Xenopus tropicalis: one gene and its partners. The protein of the gene in region 1 purifies or fractionates together with the protein of each later gene. This does not show direct contact. Links are inferred from orthologs where the notes say so. Each region holds a gene or a part of one and is shown on either strand. Other genes may lie near its edges. The genes, in order: mybbp1a, npm1, lyar and sirt7.

Region 1 (5,704 bases):
TAACTTTTAATGTACATTCAGATTTTGAAGAGTAGTTTTTTAGTGTCAGTATCACTTTAATTAGTCAGTGGGTTTTTGGGTACAAATTGTAGATTGCAAGCTCTTTTGGGCAGGGCCCTCTTCACCTCTTGTATCGGTTATTGATTGCTTTATGTGTTACTCTCTATGTCCAATGTATGTAACCCACTTATTGTACAGCGCTGTGGAATATGTTGGCGCTTTATAAATAAATGTTAATGTAATGTAATACAAATGTTTCCTGTAACTGGTAGCAAAAATAGACACACTGACTATTTGATGAATAAATGATAAGTAGGGGCAGAAGAATGTTTACATGGCATTCCCCAGTGTATTGGTGTTCCTTTGCAATTAAGTGGCAAGGAATGTGCTTCCAGTTTACACAGAAATTCCTGGTAACTGGAAGCAATGTTTTTACAGTGGGAACTTACCTTGGCTCACAGATAACTACTATTCCATGGGATCTGCTCAGGGTTAAAAGCAAATGAAATGCTAAACACTCCATTGCTTCCACCTGTGGACGAATGTAAGAATATTTGTAAGCGCTGTTCCATTCTCAAAATGTTGTAATTTGTTTATATTCCATAGGAAGATGAACTAAAGTACACTTTTAAAAGGCTTGTAGAAGGGTTAGCAGCAACACGTGAAGCAGCGCGTCCTGGTTTTAGTTTGGCCTTGGCTCAGGTATGTACATTTATTTTGTGTGTCGACCACATTGCTTATTTCTCATGTGTTACTGGGGACATCGATCATGAACATATTTTGCTTTCATTTAGTGTATATTTTTTCACTGTACAGTATATGATCAGCAGATACTGTGGCTGAGCATGAAAATGTAAATCTCAAGAATAACTTACCAGAAATGTTGTTTTGTATACACCACACTATTCCAGATTTGGTCAGTTTGTGACCATCAATAAATATATTGTTGTGATAGACTAGGTAGCTCACCAAAAGTCCTCCAGCTGCTTTGTTTAAACCCTCATCAGCCAGATGTTTGTGTGCATATAGAATAATTTACCCCAGCTTTGTAACTTGTATGTAGTCCCCTGGTCTCAAGCAATTAACCGTAATTTATTTCAAAGGTTCTGCAGAGTTTTGAAGAAATTCCATTATCTAAAGTATTAGAACATATCTCTGAGAAACATAATCTAGAGCGGTTGAACAAGGTAAGAATTCTTATCAGTTTAACATCAGTTCAGGCTTACTGATGGGTTTTATTAAAACCCTCTATTTGGCAAACTCTGGGCATTATTAATGCAATTGTAGATGTATAGTGTTTGTATTATTTAAAAAGATCATGCCATCTTAAGTATTGCTCTGTTACTAAACGTTTCTGGGATAATGCTCATTAGGGTTGCCAAACTAAATATTGCCTATATTATGAAAAACAAAGAAATAGTTAAAGTATTTGAAATGGTTAGTTCACCTATAAATTAATTTTTAATATGGCATAGACACTGGTATTGTGAGACAGCTTGCAATTGGTCTTCATTTTTTTTCAGTTGTCTTTGAATTCTTTTGTTCATTAGTTTTCCACTTTAGAAGTTCAGCAGCTATTTGGCTGCCATGCTGTTTGTGTGTTTGAGAATACACCGCTTAAGTGGAAAATTGGTTGCAAAATATGTTCAGTAACATCTGATTTTCACTCCTAAACATTTCTTTCTAGAAAGTACTCCGAAATGCTGCCTTTGGGAATTTTTTCGGTGTCCTTGCACTGTTTCAGTCTGGTCGTCTTGCCAAGGTAAGACATTCTCCTTTGAGGCACAGCACAAAAAAGAATGGAGGCGCATTATTTTGGGTTAGCCAAGTACATGATTGAGGGTTCCTCCCCAAAAACTTGTGTGTGTGTGTTTTTTTTGCACTCTGCTAATAAATTATGTAGAGCGCTGTCTGACACATCAAGGGTACACTGTGCCGTGTTTTTTATGCTGTAGTGAACTTGGGCTTCTAAAAGCTTTTGGGTATGTTAAGTGTCAGTGCTTCATAGTAAATACTACAAAGCAAGTATTATATTGCATTCTGGTACAGCATTTGGCCAGGGCCTCCCCTTAGTTTATCACATTCTTACAGATATATAAAAATGTTGCTGTTATGCAACACTTTCAAGAATAGTTTCAAGAATAAGCAAATAAACTCACATCTCGCCCTAAATGATTCTTTGTTGGAATTCCAGGACTATTTTAGAGAGCAACAGACAGTCACCCCCAAAGTGGTCTTTAGGCCCACAGAGGAGCAATTTTCTTAGGGTCATACCACATTAGATCTAGTATACGCTTAGGGCAGTAAGCAATACAGTTAAGAAATACATTCAGTGGTGACACAGCCATAAATCTTAATCCTTTGTCATGAAACATCATAATCCATGTTAAGTGTGCAAAACCTCTTCACAAGTCAGTTGAATTGTCTAAGCACAAGAGAAAGTTGAAATGTGTGAACTGTTTATATCCAGTATCTCTGCTGCAGTCTTAGATGGTTAGTGCTATCTTAAAACCCCTACTGTTTCAGACCAGGTTACTCTTAAGGTGGCCACACATTTGGCGATTTCCGATCTTCGCACGAAAGATCGTTCAATCAGCCACTAACGTTCAGGGCTGAAACGGCAGATAAGGAGGTAGAAACAATAGGATTTCTACCTCCTTCTGCCGATTCAGCCCTGAAGGCAGATTTTGATCAGGCGCCTTCTATGGCGCCCGATCAAAATCTTTTAACCCGCCCGAACGGTTGACTCACCGACTTGCCATACACGCACCGAATATCGTACGAAACAAGGTTTTTGCGTGTATGGACAGCTTTAGCTGTTATGTAAATAAATAGTGATGATATACTGCTAAGTTTGACTTATCCTTTCAGTGAGTGGGAGAGGCAAGCAAAAGCATATCAAGCAGTGTAAGCTAGTTTTAATATGAAAAAGTTTCACAATTAAGCCCTTGCGAATTGTTTTTATTTTTAGATTGTTTAGTATTTTTACGCTTTTAATACACAATATATTTTTTTACAGGATCCAAAAGTCCTTTTACAGTGTGTGCAAATATTGCAAAACATTGCTCAATATAAGGAACACTTGAAAGATCTGCCCAGGAAAACACTTGTTGACATTCTCTCAGAGGTATGACATGCTGGTTATAATGTATGATAAATGTTTGTGTAAGGAAATGCATTTGAACATTGGTGTGTTTTTATTTTTGCACAAGTTGGTGCATCGATGATGGGTTTTATCAGATTTTCAGCCATGAAAAACGACCAAGCTTCATTTCCAGATTTAACTGTATAATGTTATCTAGATGGGAATTTATGAAGATTATGCTTTTTTTTCACTTTAACAGCATACAATGCTTAAACTTTCTCCTTGGCAGATTCCAGAATCTTTATTCGAGGAAGTGTTGTTTGGAGTACTTCGTGCAGACCTGACATCAGCGTTTAGTTCTCCAGAGCAGCTGCATCTGCTGCTGGTTGGAATGCAGAAATTTCCAGGGGTTCTAAAACCCAAAAAATTGAAGAAACTGCTTGGATCCTCTGTGATAACTACACAGGAGAACATTCCTAAGTATGGTTTTCCACAATTTTATACATTTGCAATATAGTTATTTTATCAAAGTCAGCTGTGTAGTGATCTATTACATTTCATGTGTTAAGGAGATATTTAGTGGTAAGGGTAACCTCGCACAGTGCACAGTGTGTGTATAATGCAGTTACAAGTGGGATAGAAAGACACAAAATACTGGCACACCACTTGGCGAATATAAAAGAAATCTTTATTAATTATAATTAAAATCCACAAGTTACAAAATAGGAAAAGAATAGAAAAATTAGGAGTTAAAATAACAAGGGGCAATCTTAGTACCTCTACATTTACACATGGTCAGAAGCAGACCAACTAAATGTTCTATTAGCGGCTGGTATTTCTTAGTGTGGTGACTAGGCTAGCAAAATATTGTAGATTCCTAAAAGTATATATATATATGTAAAATTATATATATATATAAAGAACTACCTGCAGAAATTTCACATTAGTTCTGAGTATATCAGTCAGGCTCCTGTCCTGTATGAAAAACCGTGTAGTAATGTTACGGCTGCATTCGCAACAATTGTTGCTAATGCTGTGAAATATTGGGCAGCTCTGCCTGGCTGTTTCTAATGTGGTTTAAACATTCAATAATGTTGCAACTTCATTCGCAACTATTGTTGCTAGTGCTGTGATATATTTGGCAGCTTTCCCAGTTGCTTCAAATGCAGTTCTAACACTGGGAAAAAGTTTCCACATCGGAGGTAAGTATATCCTAAAGAATCCTGCCTTAAAGAGTAGCTCAAATTAATCCAACAAACTTTATAAGAGGTTGAAAATTACCTCAGTTTGATTATTTTGATAAATGAATATATTATTAATATTTATGTTTTTCAGATTATAAGTTAACGGCGCAAGTGAATCATGGGTCCTAGAAGGTAAGTATATCAAACGTGTGGGGTAGTTGTGGGTACTTCTATCCAAGCGGGAATTGCTGGGAACTTCACATTGGTCCCAGTTCAACCACGGCCAGCAGAATAATCTGCCCTACCTGAGTACCCGATACAGCTCCCCACAAGCAGGCACCTGAGTAAGTTAGCCCCGGCTGGGCACCCCGAATGACTTAAGTCGTATTGAAACGGTAAGTTATTAATTCTGAGTTATTACCCCCTCTATCTCGCCCCTATGGATACCAAGTAGTCAGCCTAAGAACAAATTACCTCATCGTGCCTACTACCACATATACAGGTTACCTCGGCACGACTACACAAAGTGGTACATAAGATTCGCCTTGACAAAGCTATGAGCGAAACGCGTGTCGGCGTTCGCAATCTTATGTACCACTTTGTGTAGTCGTGCCGAGGTAACCTGTATATGTGGTAGTAGGCACGATGAGGTAATTTGTTCTTAGGCTGTACGTGGTTGTTGATGGTTAGATTTATTTAATTCAGTATTAGCAACTGGAGTATGTCCTCTATGCAGCTAGGCTGACCTGTGTCGCTGTTGTTTGTTTCAGTAAATCAGGCATCCTTATTTCCGTGCATTGTTGTATGTAGTCGTGCCGAGGTAACCTAAATGGGTAATGGTAGGCACGACGAGGTAATGATATACAGGTTTTGGTGATCGCTGATGAACGGCGCATATGTGAATGCTAGTATAGAAGTAAAGACTTCCAGCATATCCTCATAAGAACAGCGAAGGGGCACTCTGGTCGAACTGTTACTTTTGGAGTTTGTATTCTGGTACTCTGTGTCTCGCTCTCCTCGTATTTGGTCTCCCTGAATTTGATTGTCTGGTAATTATGGGGGCGAGATAGAGGGGACAATAACTCTGAACTAACAACCTACGGATACAAAATCATTTGAGATACCCAGTCTGTAGCTCCTGATCTGAGTCGTTATTTTTTGAGCTCCTAATTCCGGTTTCGGGTGGCTCCCTCTTCCCTTAATTGGTCTCCTTGGATTGGACTATTTGGTATCCATAGGGGCAAGATAGAGGGGGTAATAACTCAGAATGAATAACTTACTGTTTCAATACGACTTAAGTGCCTGCTTGTGGGGAGCTGTATCGGGTACTCAGGTTTTGTTTGTGGGGATTTGTGTCGGGTAGGGCATTATTCTGCTGGCCGTGGTTGAACTGGGACCAATGTGAAGTTCCCAGCAATTCCCGCTTGGATAGAAG
Region 2 (6,137 bases), on another chromosome or scaffold:
CGATTTCAGCGAGATCGCGCAAGTTGCCTTGAGAGGAAACTTGCGATCTCACTGAAATCGCGCCGCCGCTTATGCCATCCCACCAGCGATTTACATTTTCGCCGGTGGGATGGCAATCCGGGGAGATTAGTCGCCTGAGACACGGGAGATTTGTCACGGGCGACTAATCTCCCCGTGTGCCAGAGCCCTTAAAGTACACTCTTTGAGCAGTTCATCAGAGGGCTTCTCAGTGGACTGGTAAATATATCAGTCCATCTGCTTGTCAGAACCAGAACTGACAGGAAGTACTAAAGTGAAACTGGATTAAGTGTATTTATTGCTGAAAATAACAAAACGGATTTCTTTATTAAAAGAAAAGTATTCAGATCAAGACCTAATTAAGCTCATTATGAAATAGCGCTTAAAGCATCCCTTTGTCTATGGAGACACTTATACTAGATTATTAAAACACTTATATAGTGCCAATATATTTTAATGCTCTTAGAAATTACACACCATTCACATCAGTCCCTGCACTAGTACTGCTTAGTCTGTCCCTATCACAATAGTGTTTATTATATACATATGACCAATTAATCCACCTGTATGTTTCTATAAGACAGGAAAGATACCCATGTGGACACAGGAAGAACATACAAAAATCCATGCCACTGTGTGTTTATCCCATATCACCATTTTGCCTAAAGAAGCACCAACATGCAGCATTTCAAAACTGTGCCCCGCTCTACATCTCTGAACTCCTCAAACTGCTTGTTACGCTCTATTGATCAATGCAACACCTCATTCATTATCTCCTCACAAATGAGACTTTACTAGGGCTGCACCCTCTTCTCTGGAATTTACTCCCACATGATGTCCAACTGTCTCCCAGTCTTCCTGCCTTTAAAAGAACTCTCAAGCTTTTCTAAAGAAATGTTCTATTAAATTCCATGCTCTATGCCACATATTTTACCTTAGATTGTAAGCTCTTTCAGACAGAGCCCTCTACCTCTTGCATGGGCTAACTGCTTTATATGTACATCTTTCTACCTATTGAAGAACTCACTTTTACAATGCATTGCCCTTTGTACCTCCATGCATCGTCAAATAGTGATTAAAGTCCCCTCTACTGTAAAAAAAAAAAAAAAAAAATACATGTAGGGACCTATAGGGTTAACATGCCCCTATGGCTTTAAACCCTGCAGCTTCCTTGGCTTGTGCAGTTACTGGGCAAAGACCCATGTATCAGTTTAGAGTTTTGCATATGTGCCTTATTGGTTACCAGGGAGACCACTCCCTTGGCACACTGATATAGTGCTTAGCAGGGGGGTGTGGCTTTCTCTTTGGCTCCATCTGCTGACCCAGGTGGAAGTTCCACTGAGCCTGGGATCAACAGGGACCCAGTAAAGTGATTACCGTAGAGTCTGCATCGACTCTAGAGAAGTCAGTGACAGGGACCCTGTGAATGAGGACCAGTTAGATAGCATGTTGTGTTGAGCACTTTCTAGGAAAGCGAGATAGTGAGGGAAGGAAGCAAGGGCAGTTTGGCTCCACCAAATAAAGTAGTTTTGGAAGTACACTTCCAGACAGGCACTGTTGCCTTAGCGTAGGGCCACGGTTAAGGGCTCTCCCAGTGTGCCAGAGCCCTTAGACATAGAAGGCAGGCAGTATCAGAACCCTTATCCAGAGTTGCTGTGGGAGCCTGAGGGCTAGAGGTGTTCAACCTGAGGAGTGTGGTATCCAATCTGACTGTTCCAAAGGGTGGATAAACTGAACCAGTGGCACGGACCCTGGCCAGACTCAAGAGGAGTTGTGAGGAATGGATGTGCACCCTCTGTGCTGTCTGCAGAGAAATGCTATGCTAAACTGCTGTGAGTATATTACACTTACCCTGCATATTGATATATAACCATGCATATCTCTAACAATAAACTGATTCTATTGTTCAACTGCAAGAACCTTCTGGCTCTCATTTGTTATTCTGAACTGCACACAGCTACAGTGGGTTGTAGTTGCACTACACCATAGCTCGGTTTGGTCCCTTCTACATAGTTGGCTGGGTTACAGCCAAAAAAAGTGTTACATGTGTTATAAATCAGACATTCCATAGCCCAACTCCAAGGTGACTTCGAATATCCTCATTTTACAACAGTGGGTACTTTATTACAATACACAAGTTTATGCAAGTCATGTGACAAATTACATGAACAGGCACCATTTATAAAGATATCTTTTATGGGATATTTATGGCACTTGTGTGTATTTTTTTTTTATTTATTTTGAAACACATGTACGGGATCCCTTATCCGGAAACCTGTTATCCAGAAAGCTCCAAATTACAGAAAGCCTGTCTCCAATAGACTCCATTTTAATCAAAGTTCAGAATTTTAAAACAGATTTCCTTTCTCTCTGTAATAAAACAGTACCTTGTAATTGTTCCCAAAATATAATTAATCCTTATTGAATTCAAAACAATCCTATTGGGTTTAATTAATGTTTTATTGATTTTTTTAGTGGATTTAAGGTACGGAGATCTAAATTACAGAAAGACCCCTTATCCAGAATACCCTTGGTCCTGAGCATTCTGGATAACAGGAGATAGATATAGGTAGATATATTCTCTATAGATAGATACAGAGATAGGTTCTCTATAGAGAACCTGAGATATATCTCTGTATCTATCTATCTATCTATCTATCGAGAATATATCTACCTATATCTATCTATCTCCTGTTATCCAGAATGCTCAGGACCAAGGGTATTCTGGATAAGGGGTCTTTCTGTAATTTAGATCTCCATACGTTAAATACACTAAAAAAATCAACAAAACATTAATTAAACCCAATAGGATTGTTTTGCATTCAATAAGGATTAATTATATCTTGGGATCAATTACAAGGTACTATTTTATTACAGAGAAAAAGGAAATTAGTTTTAAAATTCTTAACTATTTGATTAGATAGATAGATATATCTATCTAGACTATTTTATATATATCTATATATATTTAACTCTTCCTTCCTGATGATAAGTGCAGAGGTAAGAATGGCAGCTCCAGCTGATAGGCACATGGCTATTTACACGTGGAGATATTGAAACAATGGCACATGTTACAGGGAGTTGTAGCTAAATAGGAGCTGTACAATGTATGTTAGATATTGATGGGTGCAGGGAGTTGTAGCTAACAGAACCTGCAGGTGGTATTATAGATATAGGTGGTATTATAGATGATAAACTGGAGCAATATTGGCTTCAAAGTTTAGGATAACTCTGGGTAGGGAGGTAATATGAAGGAGAGATGGAGGCGGAAGCAGTTAAAGAGCATTCATTTGGTGCAGCTTGTACCTGGGGGAGGGAGAAGGAATCTATATTCCACATAATGTGGTAGTGGTAGCAGGAGGGGAGCCATAGAAAGGCAAAGGGCAGCAGCAATGAATCCATGCTTTCGGCTCCTGCGCCCAGGAGCAGTCTAACCGTGAGGAAGGAGCGGGGACATTCCAACAAAAGCCCGGGACAGCGGGCTGAGTGACGCAAAACTGGGCTGTCCCGTTAAAAGCAGGACACCGGGGAGCCATGAACAAGTCAGCGGAACGTGTGACGTCTATATAATATTTCCCAAAAAAAACCCGTGGCCGAGTTTCAAAACCCCTGGTACTGTATACATACCAAAGAGAAAATTCTGAGGGCGCAGGGGAGCAATGCTATCCATATCCATGGAGTCTTCCATTTTGTTCCAATTCAATTCAGATGTACCCCCTCTACTCTACAGCGGCACGGACGGATTCTGAGAACTAATGGCGCGCAACGTGTCTCTATATGTACGGGCCTTTTTCTCGCGAGATTTCACGCCATAGAAAGGCGGGGCTATTTTCCCTCAAACAAGTAACGCAGTTTACGATTGGCTAAACACGTTCTGCTGTGAGGTATGTGATTGCGCAAAACGAGCTGTGGGTTTATAGGAATTTAACGTGACCCACCATGTGCTTGTTTGTAAGATAATGGCAAGGAGTTCACGTTGTGTAGGCCTGTGTCCATAGCAGAGATTGTTAAAGGGGATCTCTATCCCTGAACTCTTTTTGTGTATAATTAATGTAATAATTAATTTTAGTAACGTTCTCATATGCGGGCTTTAGACATGTTTACTGGTTTTAAACTGCTTTTGATATAATATGGAAAGTGAGATACTAGTCTGAGGCAGTGCCTTTTCTGCTATGGGTGTGGCTTTGATTATAGGCCACTTTTACTTTTTACACTAATTTCAGCCTAGCAAAATAAATGTGGAATGGTTTTAAAAAGAAAAAAATGGATCTGAAAGGTGTATTTAATGCCAATCAAATTATTTAATGTCAATTAAAAATGTTCATATACATAGGGACCTTAAGGTCCCCATACATGGGCCGATAGAAGCTGCCGATATCGGTCCCTTGGACCGACTCGTCAGCTTATCGGCCCGTGTAGGGGCAGAAACGAGCGGACTGGCCGACCAATATCTGGCCTGAAATTGGCCAGATATCGGTCGGCCAGGTTAGAAAATCCCGTCGGTTCGGGGACCGCATCGGCTCGTTGATGCGGTCCCCGAACCGTATGCCCCATTGCCGCGTGCAGAATTCGATCATTTGGCCCTCACCTACATGCCTCCCCGATATCGCCACCCGTAGGTGGGGATATCGGGTGAAGATCCGCTCGCTTGACGACATCGCCAAGCGAGCGGATCTTCCTGTGTATGGCCACCTTTAGCCTTTTTATTTCCATTCAGGAAACATGTTAGCCCTTTCATTGGGGTTTAAGAAAGATCTGTTAGCCCTTTTATTGGGAGCCACATAGGGGTTCAGGAAACCTCTGTATTTTCAGATGATCTCTCCTAAACAAGCTGCATTTATATGAGAGATTGTACCCCTATTTAAAGTGCGATACAGCACACACATTAATATACTTTAGAATATAAAATCTTCCATCTCCTTTACCAGTTTAGTTGCAGTCTCTGCACTCTCTCCAGCTCATTAATATCCTTCTTAAGGACTGGAGCCCAAAACTGCACTGCATACTCAAGGTGAGGCCTTACCAGGGACCTATAAAGAGGCAAAATTATGTTCTCATCCCTTGAGTCAATGCCCTTTTTTATACAAGACAGCACTTTATTTGCTTTAGTAGCCACAGAATGACATTGCCAGGAATTACACCGCTTGCTATCCAGTAATGTATCAGCCCTGTCTGGGCCCAGGCACAGGATGTGCACACAGGCTTAGTTTTCCAGATTAGTCAAATCGCTCTGCAAAGCGGCAGCATCCTGCATGGAATTTATAGCTTTGCACAATTTAGTGTCGTCAGCAAAGATAGAGACAGTACTGTCTATGCCCACCTCCAGGTCATTAATAAACAAGTTAAAAAGCAAAGGGCTAAGGACTGACCCCTGCGGTACTCCACTGACACTGGTCTAATTAGAGACTGCTCCATTTACCACCGCTCTTTGTAATCTATCCTTCAGCCAGTTCTCTATCCAAATGCAAATTTTATGTTCTAGGTCAATATTCCTTAATTTAAGGAGTATCCTTCTGTGTAGTACTGTATAAAATGCTTTAGCAAAGTCTAAGTAAATCTACTGCCATCCGAGAGTCTAGGTTCCTCATAGAAGAAAGTTAAATTAGTCTGCCAAGATCTATTGCTCATAAAGCCATAGTGGCACAAATTACAGTATTGTGGAATCTTTACTGAAGTGAGACGAGCACAAGCCACCGCAGTACTTTGCTGCAAACAACTGTTTATTAACCACAACATTTTTCGGGCCACAAAGGACCCTTTCTCAAGTTCATGCATTGTGATTTTCAATGTATTCAAGTATCTTATCGCTTGCTAACTCTTCTAAAGGTTTTTCTACCGCTAATGTCAAAGTCACGCTCTTCCTCATAGCTGCTATTTTGTATTATCAACTGAATCAGAGGGGTGAAAAGAAGGGCGCTACAAACAATTTAATCACCTGCTTGGACTTTTTCTCACAAAAAGAGCACCTACAACACAGATTGCCTTTCTATATTCTCAAAACATGTACTGACTTTATGTCTCAAAACTATATGTAGTCAATATGTACCCACTGTACTTCAATATCAACAAATATATTTATTAAGCAGGCTGAAAAGTAGTTTCCCCCTTAAAATTACTAG
Region 3 (6,327 bases), on another chromosome or scaffold:
GGTGTTTTATCTTGGTACCTAATGCTATGTGGGAGATAAGATGCTTCAAAATGGAAGCTTTGAGGGGATTTTTGGAAATGTCATCAAAATTGCTAACTTTAGAAAAGCTGTGCGGCTTGGTACTTTGGAGTAGAAAGACATGGGTACCCATTTTAGATTCGGGGGAATGTGTACTTTCCAAAAATATATGGCTTTCTGGGGTGAGCGTACTTTTTTGTAGCTTTATCTCACATATAATGATGTAAATGTGTTGATTTTGCAGGAGCTGAAATGACAGAAATGACAGTATATATGGGGGTATGTTCACATTCGGGCCCCTACATGCCACATACTTGGGTAAACCTATACATATTGGGCATCAAACTGTTCAGTGGACCCCTGGTGTTCAAATTCAGGGTGTTTTATCTTGGTACCTAATGCTATGTGGGAGATAAGATGCTTCAAAGTGGAAGCTTTGAGGGGATTTTTGGAAATGTCATCAAAATTGCTAACTTTAGAAAAGCTGTGCGGCTTGGTACTTTGGAGTAGAAAGACATGGGTACCCATTTTAGATTCGGGGGAATGTGTACTTTCCAAAAATATATGACTTTCTGGGGTGAGCGTACTTTTTTGTAGCTTTATCCCACATATAATAATGTAAATGTGTTGATTTTGCAGGAGCTGAAATGACAGAAATGACAGTTCATATGGGGGTATGTTCACATTGGGGCCCCTACATGCCACATACTTAGGTAAACCTATACATATTGGGCATCAAACTGTTTAGTGGACCCCTGGCGTTCAAATTCAGGGTGTTTTATCTTGGTACCTAATGCTATGTGGGAGATAAGATGCTTCAAAGTGGAAGCTTTGAGGGGATTTTTGGAAATGTCATCAAAATTGCTAACTTTAGAAAAGCTGTGCGGCTTGGTACTTTGGAGTAGAAAGACATAGGTACCCATTTTAGATTCGGGGGAATGTGTACTTTCCAAAAATATATGACTTTCTGGGGTGAGCATACTTTTTACTAGCTTTATCCCACATATAATGATGTAAATGTGTTGATTTTGCAGAAGCTGAAATGACAGAAATGACAGTATATATGGGGGTATGTTCACATTCGGGCCCCTACATGCCACATACTTGGGTAAACCTATACATATTGGGCATCAAACTGTTCAGTGGACCCCTGGTGTTCAAATTCAGGGTGTTTTATCTTGGTACCTAATGCTATGTGGGAGATAAGATGCTTCAAATTGGAAGCTTTGAGGGGATTTTTGGAAATGTCATCAAAATTGCTAACTTTAGAAAAGCTGTGCGGCTTGGTACTTTGGAGTAGAAAGACATGGGTACCCATTTTAGATTCGGGGGAATGTGTACTTTCCAAAAATATATGACTTTCTGGGGTGAGCGTACTTTTTACTAGCTTCATCCCACATATAATGATGTAAATGTGTTGATTTTGCAGAAGCTGAAATGACAGAAATGACAGTTCATATGGGGTATGTTCACATTGGGGCCCCTACATGCCACATACTTAGGTAAACCTATACATATTGGGCATCAAACTGTTCAGTGGACCCCAGGCATTTATATTTAGGGTATTTTATTTGGTTACTTTATGACCTGTAGGAGATAAGATACTATAGACTAGAAGCTTTGAAGCGATTTTTAAAAAAAATCACAAATTTTGATAAAAACCAATAACTTTAGGAAAGCATTGCAACTTGATAGTTTGGAGTAGACAGACAGTTGTGCCTATTCTGTATTCCCCAGAATCTGTTCTTTCCAAAAATGTACAATTTTCTGGGATAAACCTTCTGTTAGTGGAATTTTGGCCTTGAAATCCAAAGTATGCAGTTTTTTTGGAGCAGTGCTTTGGGAATTTGGTAGTGTACTGCTGGGAGTTTTTGACCTATACAAGTGAGAAATCTCCATAAAACTATATATATTTGGTATTGGCACGTTCAGGAGACATGGGACTTTCCAAATCAGTTGTATATTCGTGCATAAAATAATTTTTGTTTCTAGTATGTGTGATTATATTATGGAAAATTTGATTTTTTTTGCATTTTTAGACATTTAGAAGCCTATATCTTGTTACAGAATTGGAATTACACAAAAATTCTACCATATTTTGAAAGCTTAGGTTGTTCTGAAAAAAACGATATATTGTTTTCCTTGGTAAACTAAAAGTCCCCCCGAGGAAAGGCCCCTAAAGTGAAACAGTGCAAAATGTTCAAAAACTGTCTGGCAATACAAGTTCCGCTTTGACCAAAATGGCTGGCAGTAAAAGGGTTAAGTGTGTGTGTGTGTGTGTGTGTGTGTGTATGTATATATATATATATATATATACGAGGTTGTTTATTTACATATACTATTACATTTGGTGGTCATTCCGGACTGAGCCCCTTACCGTCTGTACGTACGGGCACTGAGGCCCCTCTGGCTCTATCCCTGCCGCACCAACATGAACCCATCAACCGAACGAGTCAAGACTTTCGCCGATAGGTACGTCACTTCCGCCCTCAAGGTCGCGGCGCTGGGAAGCCGGGCGGAAGTGGCGTCACAGTAAATAGTCTGCGCAGTGCGGGAGCGCTACACGTGGGTATAGCTGGCGGTACGGTGGGAGAGAGGCGCCTTAGGCTATAGTGGGACTGCTGCGCCGAGCCCGGGAAGTGGGAGGTAAGGGGTGCCCGATGCAGCGGGTTTCTGAACTGCAACTCGCACAAACTGTAAGATCTATAGAGAGAGACACTATGGGTGTGCTGCTGTTAGACTAGCACTGTGTGTGTGTGTGTATGGGGGGCTGGGTATGGCTGTGTCAGCTAACCCCATGGCATCAGGGGGATAACGATCCTGTTTCAGCTTCGTTTAAATCCTAACGGGATGGATCAGTTATCTCAGTACCCTGTGCCCCCAGCAAAGCCCCCACACTAGCTCTTCTGGCAAAACTGTGCTGTTAAAGGGCATCTAAATGCAAAATATAAACTGGCCTTACTGACAGTGCTCATCCGAGCTATAGTACATAAACTGGCTTCTGACTCTCTCAAGAGACTGCAGGGAGAGCACAGCTGGGGTTGCTGGCACTTTTTGGATCCAAAAAGCTTGGGAATCAGTGTAAAGCTGCCATTATCTCAGTAACCAGTTTAAACTGGAAAAGTGCTCACAGGACTTTAACTTCATTTTTGGGGTTAAATCTCTTTAAGGCTGTTATTACACCTGGCAGTCTCCCCAAGTAGCCAGTGATCACCGACTCAGGGTATCAGACTGCACTAGTGCTCTCCATTAATGTAAAGCTGCCAATACAAGTAGAGAGATTTCCATATAACTGGTGAACAGCCAAAGGATTTTTCAGTAGCTAGAACACCGGAGAGTTAAAATGAACAGAAAGGTAGGGCAGCGGATTGGCCGTGTGTAAAGGTGCCACTTGGGAAGCAGTATTGCTAGTGCCACACAGGGATGATTCTTGGCCTGTGGAGAAAAAATGAAGCAGCGTGTGGAAGCGGATCTACTTCTCTCAGCCTGACGGATAAATGCTAAATGAGAGAAGTGGACAAACCGCTCCCTGTGTCCAAGTCCTTAGGGTGAAGACACACAGAGCTACTTAGTAGCAGCTACTTCTCACGGCTACACCAGAAAATACTCTGCCATAGACAATACTGAGAATTGCCTCTTGTAAAACGTAGAGACAATTATCAGCATTGTCTATTTTAGTAGCTGCTACTAGTAGCTCCATGTGTCTTCACCCTTAGGGCTCTGGCACACGGGGAGATTAGTCGCCCGCGACAAATCTCCCTGTTCGCGGGCGACTAATCTCCCCGAATTGCCATTGTAAGTCGCCGGTGGGATGGCACACGCTGCGCAGGCGATTTCAGCAAATCGCCGAAGTTGCCTTGCGAGGCATTTTCGGCAATTTGCAGAAATTGTGCCGCCGCGTGTGCCATCCCACCGGCGACTTACATTTTCGCCGGTGGGATGGCAACTGATGGTAACTCGGGGAGATTAGTCGCCTGCGAACAGGGAGATTTGTCGCGGGCAACTAATCTCCCCGTGTGCCAGAGCCCTTAGAAACATCACCTTTGCCACTACCTTATCAGATTAAGCACACTTGATCAGAGATTATCGTCTGCCTGAACTAAACTGATTAAAGCAACAGTAACACCAAAAAATGAAAGTGTATAAAAGTAACTAAAATATAATGTGCTGCTGCCCTGCACTGGTAAAAGTTGTGTGTTTGCTTCAGAAAGTCTACTATAATTTATATAATTAAGCTGCTGTGTAGCCATGGAGGCAGCCATTCAAAGGAGAAAAGGCACAGGCACATAGCAGATAACAGATAAAACACTATTGTATTCTACAGAGCTTATCTGTTATCTGCTATGTAACCTGTGCCTTTTCTCCTTTTGTTCCAGCTTGAATGGCTGCCCCCAGGGCTACACAGCAGCTTACCGTATATACTCGAGTACAAGCCGAGTTTTTTAGCACTAAAAATGTGCTTAAAAAGTGAACCTCGGCTTATACTCGCATATATACGGTATCTGAATTAAATGCATAGCTGCACGCGCCCTAACTTGCGTGCTGACGCGTGGCATCGTTGCCGAGCGGGGGCTTCTCCTTACAGGTATGAGCATTAGGGCACCGATCTGTAGCGCCGCTTTGTGCCATTTCATTATTTTATTGGGGTATTTGCTGAGCTCTCAGGGCACCGATCTGTAGCGCCGCTTTGTGCAAGTTGAAGCTGCTCCAAACTAATGGCGCCTCCAGCCCAACAGCGCAGAGCAAGGGAACGATGTGCGGGCTGAATGCACAATTACAGTTTACATTCTTTTCTGCAGGTAATTCCATTCTTTGCTACAAGGCTCGGCTTATATTGCTTCCAATGAATTATTTTGACATTGGGAATGTCACATCCCTCAGACATAAGGCAGATATTATAGGAGGGGTGCAGGCACTTTCACATAAGGATTTCCTTGTATGCCCCCCATATTGCCAACAAAGGGGCCATAAAGTGGGGTGCAATCCAATGCAAACACCATGGTTCCCACTTTCAATGGAGCCCCACAGAACAGTAGCTGCACGCAGAGGCAGTTGTGCCCTACATACCCATCCATAGGCGAAATGGAACAATATATATAATTGCCCCTTATTGGGGGCAGAACAATCCTATTGGGTTTATTTCATGGTTAAATGATTCCCTATCTTGCTCCCTTCCCATTGTTCTGCTGATTGGCTGCTGGGGGTGAGGGGGGGATATCACTCCAACTTGCAGCGCAGCAGTAAAGTGTGCCCGAGTCTGAGCTTTCAGAAGGAGCCAGCGCTACACATTAGAACTGCTTTCAGGTAACCTATTGTTTCTCCTACTCCCATGTAACTGGGGGAGTCCCAAGCTGGACTTGGATTTCTTACTATTGAGTGCTATTCTGATACCTACTGGGAGCTGCTATCTTGCTCCCTTCTCATTGTTCTGCTGATCGGTTGCTGGGAGGGGGGTGATATCACTTCAACTTGCAGTAGCGGCTGCATTTCCCACCCTATAGGCTTATACTCGAGTCAATAAGTTTTTCCAGTTTTCTTAGGTAAAATTAGGTACCTCGGCTTATATTCGGATCGGCTTATACTCGAGTATATACGGTATTATAAAAATTATAGTAGTGTTACTGTAGCAAACACACCAGTTTTACCAGTGCAGGGCAACAGTGCATTATATTTTTATTACTTTAAAGCTCTTTCATTTTTTGGTGTTACTGTTTCTTTAAAATTGTTAAACCTTGCCTCATTGACCCAGCAATATGCACCGTACTAGGATGTCTATCAATTGTTCCTTGGGTCCACATGTTCCAAAACTCATACAAAGCCTCATATCTGACAATTTTTTTTTTTTACTACTATTGTAATGTTTAATTTTTCTGCAGAACAGGATCATACGTAGATTGGGAACTTGCATCCATGCATTGAAAATAATGGCACCCAGAAATGTAGAATATGTGACACTGGCACTCTGTAACTTGAATGTCAGGTCAATTGTGCAATCGTTGGTCAGTTGGCATTAGTTAGTTGCGTATGGATTAATTGCTAGCTATGGGTCTGCCAGGACATTAACTAGAATGTTTTCTCAGCTTACTAACGGCCCACAAGGCTTATGACTTTCTTAACTGGACTAGTAGTGAGCAGGTATTCTGTATGGTGGTCACCCTGTGGCAATTTCCCATTGCAGACTGGTGCTGTGCTCACATGATGCAGATGTGAAACTGACTAACTGCCTGAAAAGAGACTACGGTACATACTGACTGGCGCTGCCCAGCAATTTTATACATGACCCAAAGCATAATGAGCAAACCCATAGAC
Region 4 (4,580 bases), on another chromosome or scaffold:
CCCTTCCTACTTTTGTTGTGCCAGGTTAATGAAATGTCTGATACCCAGTGTATGGGCATGGGTATCAGGTACCCCATTCTAGCACATAAACAAGATTTTGGGGTGCTACAAAGCCTGCCTTAATAACAGTGCCCACAAAATGGCACCCACTTGCAGTGATTGTGTAATTCCAGGACTGAAGGAAACAAGATTTATATTATTTTTATAGTGTAAGTGAAGTTTATTTTGCTTGAGAAACACAATAGAAAAGAATTCGGAATTATTTCTTAGGGTGACAGGTCCCCTTTAACATGGTCCAATACTGAAGTACAACAAGTGTGTAAAACTGATTACAGCTCCTGTAAGCCCCACTCCTATGCTGGGTATAAAAACCAAACAAACTACTACATGGAAGTGCAGCAATATAAAAAAAATTATTATAGTATGTTGTAAACACATTCACACCATCAGTTAACTGTGCGCCTCCCATAAACATGTATATTTAGTGTAAACATCTCTGTGAGCAAGGGGGGTTTGGGGATATTGAATATCCAGCAAATGAATCAGTGAGCCTGTCTACTCATCGGTAGACTGCACTAAAGCAAATTTCATACTAGGCATGAGGAAGTAATGGCTTGCCAATAAGCATGGAGCAGAAAAAAAATTACATATAGTGCAAAAAATGTTAATGACACACCCTTTGCAGTAAAGGCCTCATAAATCCGAAAAGATGCAGGCATAGAAGTATAAACTAGCAGCTCTATGCATTTTGTGTGTTATTTACCACATTTCTTATGTAAGTAGCTGTATGTGATTTTCTGTCTTCTCTGCACAAGGTGGAATTTCCTGGTTGCCATGAAATTCTTTTCAGATTGTGATTTTGCCAACGTGTATACATTCTGGTGAGGAGACAGACTCACTGATTCACTTGCTGGACATTCAGTATTCCTACACCCTTTTCTCACATAGGTGCTTTTACTGAATGCACTGTATATGTATTTGAGAGCACTAAAAAGTAAACTATGTTTTTTTTTTGTTTTTCTTGCACTTCTTGTATTATGTTTTTACTTAATTATTTGAGTTTATTATTATTTATATATTTTCTATATACAACATTATATTTTATATTACAACATTAAATCTTACTGTGTCTTATTTCTATCCATGGCTTTAGATGTTTTGCTGTGTTTACACATCTTTTTTAGGTCCAGCATATTGTGTCACAAAATTGTGATGGGCTACATCTTCGTAGTGGGTTACCAAGAGAAGCCATCTCTGAAGTTCATGGAAATATGTTCATTGAGGTGAGCTGAGGTGTTTCTGTGTGAATGAGAATCTGAGCTCCTGCTTGGGCTGCATTTACCCTTGTAATCGGTCAATCTGTCTTTTTTCCCCCCATTTATAGGTCTGCACCTTATGTTCACCGCAAAAAGAGTATGTGAGATTGTTTGATGTAACAGAACGCACAGCTCTTCACAGGCACAACACAGGGCGCTTCTGTCACAATTGCGGTGCTGAACTTAGAGACTCCATTGTTCACTTTGGAGAACGGGGGAAGCTGACACAGCCATTAAACTGGGAAGGAGCAGTGCAAGCTTCTGAGAAAGCTGATGTAATATTATGTCTTGGTTCAAGTCTAAAGGTAAATTCAAGTATGTAAACTTTAGCTATTACCATCATTTAGTTAGCTTTTCTTTTCTTATCTACCACTCCTGTTTCTCTATGACCACCTTTCAGGTCCTGAAAAAGTATAGCTGCCTCTGGGGCATGAACAGGGCTCGTGCACGTCGGCCAAAGCTCTATATTGTGAACTTACAGGTGAGTGTTGGCCAGAGAGTCGTTTCTGCAACACAGTCTGGATCCTCGTAACCCTCCATTTTCTGTTTCTTTACAGTGGACCCCTAAGGATTCAGTAGCTACCCTTAAGATTAATGGCAAGTGTGATGATGTTATGCAGATCTTAATGGAAGAATTGAATTTAAATGTTCCTGTTTATGACCGGTAAGTGAAGTTATATCTCTGCATATGTGTTTATTTCTAGCTCTGATGGTGTCCACCTTACTTAGTAAAAATAATTTTGGTAGAGAACTGTAGTGTCAAGGCTTGTTTAATATACTAGTAACACAATAGCTGCTTAAAGAAGCCTTGGAAACAGGCAAGTCTGTTATTTGCTGCAAATTATTTTCATATAAATCCTTAGTAGTAGTATAGCATAGTATTGCTTCCTAGTTGTAGTTTTTATAAATTTTTAAAATAGGGTTGTAATTGCTTTGTATAATAAATTGTAATGTCTTTAAATTTCATTAGTCTGTGGATAAAATGCCCAGAATTTTGTTTTGTGACTTGCAGTTTGCAGCTTGGCTCCCATCCTTCTAAATACTTTCCTGTGGGCTTATATGGCTGATCCCTTAGCATAAGTGCACAGATGTAATGAATTGAATTCTTTTTTCTGGTTTTCTTATTAAGCTAATCAACTTTGGGGCAATTACACCAGGGGCTGATCATCAATAAAGGTGTTTCTCTTTGGCCAAATACATAATTGGGTGGTGACCACACCATGGAAGTATATGTGTCAGCATTCAAGCGAAGTTTACATTAGTTAATAATTAATGAATGATGAATACAGGATGAGCTATGTGCATTATTGATAATTACCCATATTGCAGGTCTCAGGATCCAATATTCTCCTTGGCTGTCCCATTGCACTCCAGTGAAGAACAAAGCCATACTCGAAAGCCTATAAAGACTGCAGATTCACACAACATAATACCTGAGCAGGAGCAGCCTGTTGTTGAGCAGCCAGTAAGTGGCGGCTGGTTTGGTAAAGGATACACCAAGGGTCGGAGGATGAGAAGATGATGAATCGAGGGGTCTCTCTTCCCTTAGTAAACTTGCACATCTGCACTATATATGGCTGTTTGCACAAACAAAAAAATTAAGCTGTATAAAATGTTCTTAAAAGATATTTTATTTTCCTAAAGTATTTTTTTAAACTGCAAATATTAAGTAAACATTGAAAATCTGTTTAAAGCTGCTGGCAAAAAGCACTGTGCTCAATTATATTCGCCACTTATAAGTTGAATACTATTTGTACAAGGACAGGCTGGATTATATGGTAAGCAAACTTACTGGCTCAGCAGGAATAGTTTAAGGACAACAAAAATACAAACAGGGTTAAAGGAAACCAGCAAGGGAAAGGTTCCTGAATCAGGATCAAAAACCAGGAACAGGATCAGAGTGCCTACCTGGCAATCAGGAACAAGGTCAGGGTGCCCAAGCCAGCAGGGTCACCAGAAGGTACAGAGACCTAGAAACTGGCGAGGTGAGGTGGGGAAGACAATAACTTTTCCATTCAGGACTCCTCACTTTCCCCTTCCTCTGTAACCAGTGCATGAGTTTAGACATCTGGTCCCCCATTCTGCCACATAAACATTATTTTGGCATGATGCAAAGCTTGCCTTACTAACAGTGCCCACAAAATGGCGCCTGCCTACTTGTTGTGATTGTGAATTCCAAGACTGAAGGAAAGAAGATTTATATTATTTCTATATATAGAAATATATATTAGTGTAAGTTTATTTTGCTCAAATGTTAGAAACACAGTTGGAGTTATTTATTATGGTGACAGATCCCCTTTAAATAAGGGCTCTCTGCTGGGAGCTCACCAGGGATTGGCTGCACTAGGGATAGCCATAAGAACTTCAGAACAGGGTAAGCCTATACATCTAACCTCCCTGAATAGGAAAGAGGTAATGCAACAGGCAGCAACGTACCAGGTATCTGATTTAAACCCAATATAGGAATAATACGTTAAAAGTGGCAGAGGGATACTGACCCCTTCCTTCCTCCTTGGTGGAGCCTTAGCTGCTTGGTCTTTTAACACCTAAAATGAACTGCAGAGATCTGGCTTCTCCGAGGCAACAAACTTCAGACAGCCTGGCATCATATATTCCATTGTCATCGGCAAAAGAAAAAATAGTCTACTGCTTTCCCCCTTATATAGATAACCTAAGGCAATTCACTTCCCTTCAGAGTAACACTGAGGAATCGCATGCGCAGTAGAGTGAAAAGCCGACTTTATATTTTAAGTTTGGCTTTTTCACTCTACTGCGCATGCACGCGAAGGCAAAAAAGCGATCGCAGCTACCCTGAGCTGGTGCTGTTCTCTCTGAAAAGGGGCACCAGCCCGGGGTACAAGGTAAGCGATTTAAAGGAGAAGGAAAGGCTAATAAAGAGTTAATCCCAAGCTGCAGGCATGCCTTCAGTTGTCTCAATAGTGCCCTTAAGTCTCCCCATACTTCACCCGTTCAGAAGATCAGAAGCCAAACAGAAAAAAAACGCTGAGCTGGGTAGAGAAGATTTCCCATAATGCATCGCTCCCCCCATGGAGACGCAGCGTCGCCGAGTTCTCTGACAAGCAGGAGGAGGAAGGGGGAGGGCGAGCTGGTGCTGAGAGCGAGCAATTGTTTGTGGCAGGAGCGGGGGTATGTGGGAGGAGCGGGGGGGGGGGTTTGTGGAGCTGCAGAAACTTTGTAAGCAGGGAGCTGGCTTGTGCTTTTCAGCCCATAGAGACACGCTGGACAAGATGGCGGCGCCGTTCA

Evidence for each region.
Region 2: the proteins of mybbp1a (region 1) and npm1 purify together in Homo sapiens (affinity purification with mass spectrometry; 3 studies listed by BioGRID and IntAct, counting the BioPlex papers as one, with this or other methods). This does not show direct contact. The link is inferred for Xenopus tropicalis from reciprocal best matches to the Homo sapiens genes MYBBP1A and NPM1.
Region 3: the proteins of mybbp1a (region 1) and lyar purify together in Homo sapiens (affinity purification with mass spectrometry; 3 studies listed by BioGRID and IntAct, with this or other methods). This does not show direct contact. The link is inferred for Xenopus tropicalis from reciprocal best matches to the Homo sapiens genes MYBBP1A and LYAR.
Region 4: the proteins of mybbp1a (region 1) and sirt7 purify together in Homo sapiens (affinity purification with western blotting; 3 studies listed by BioGRID, with this or other methods). This does not show direct contact. The link is inferred for Xenopus tropicalis from reciprocal best matches to the Homo sapiens genes MYBBP1A and SIRT7.

Annotation. Positions count from the first base shown.
Region 1 is NC_030678.2:100,984,716-100,990,419, forward strand, and holds part of mybbp1a (myb-binding protein 1A), read left to right. Parts: intron 1-606; coding exon 607-702; intron 703-1,103; coding exon 1,104-1,187; intron 1,188-1,687; coding exon 1,688-1,762; intron 1,763-3,019; coding exon 3,020-3,127; intron 3,128-3,374; coding exon 3,375-3,565; intron 3,566-5,704. UniProt on the Homo sapiens protein: May activate or repress transcription via interactions with sequence specific DNA-binding proteins. Repression may be mediated at least in part by histone deacetylase activity (HDAC activity).
Region 2 is NC_030679.2:20,061,195-20,067,331, reverse strand, and holds the start of npm1 (nucleophosmin), read right to left. Parts: upstream 3,759-6,137; 5' UTR 3,707-3,758; coding exon 3,646-3,706; intron 1-3,645. UniProt on the Homo sapiens protein: Involved in diverse cellular processes such as ribosome biogenesis, centrosome duplication, protein chaperoning, histone assembly, cell proliferation, and regulation of tumor suppressors p53/TP53 and ARF.
Region 3 is NC_030677.2:26,335,780-26,342,106, forward strand, and holds the start of lyar (cell growth-regulating nucleolar protein), read left to right. Parts: upstream 1-2,563; 5' UTR 2,564-2,664; intron 2,665-6,327. UniProt on the Homo sapiens protein: Plays a role in the maintenance of the appropriate processing of 47S/45S pre-rRNA to 32S/30S pre-rRNAs and their subsequent processing to produce 18S and 28S rRNAs. Also acts at the level of transcription regulation.
Region 4 is NC_030686.2:27,954,226-27,958,805, reverse strand, and holds the end of sirt7 (NAD-dependent protein deacetylase sirtuin-7), read left to right. Parts: intron 1-1,184; coding exon 1,185-1,283; intron 1,284-1,384; coding exon 1,385-1,621; intron 1,622-1,716; coding exon 1,717-1,797; intron 1,798-1,873; coding exon 1,874-1,980; intron 1,981-2,645; coding exon 2,646-2,838; 3' UTR 2,839-3,013; downstream 3,014-4,580. UniProt on the Homo sapiens protein: NAD-dependent protein-lysine deacylase that can act both as a deacetylase or deacylase (desuccinylase, depropionylase, deglutarylase and dedecanoylase), depending on the context. Specifically mediates deacetylation of histone H3 at 'Lys-18' (H3K18Ac).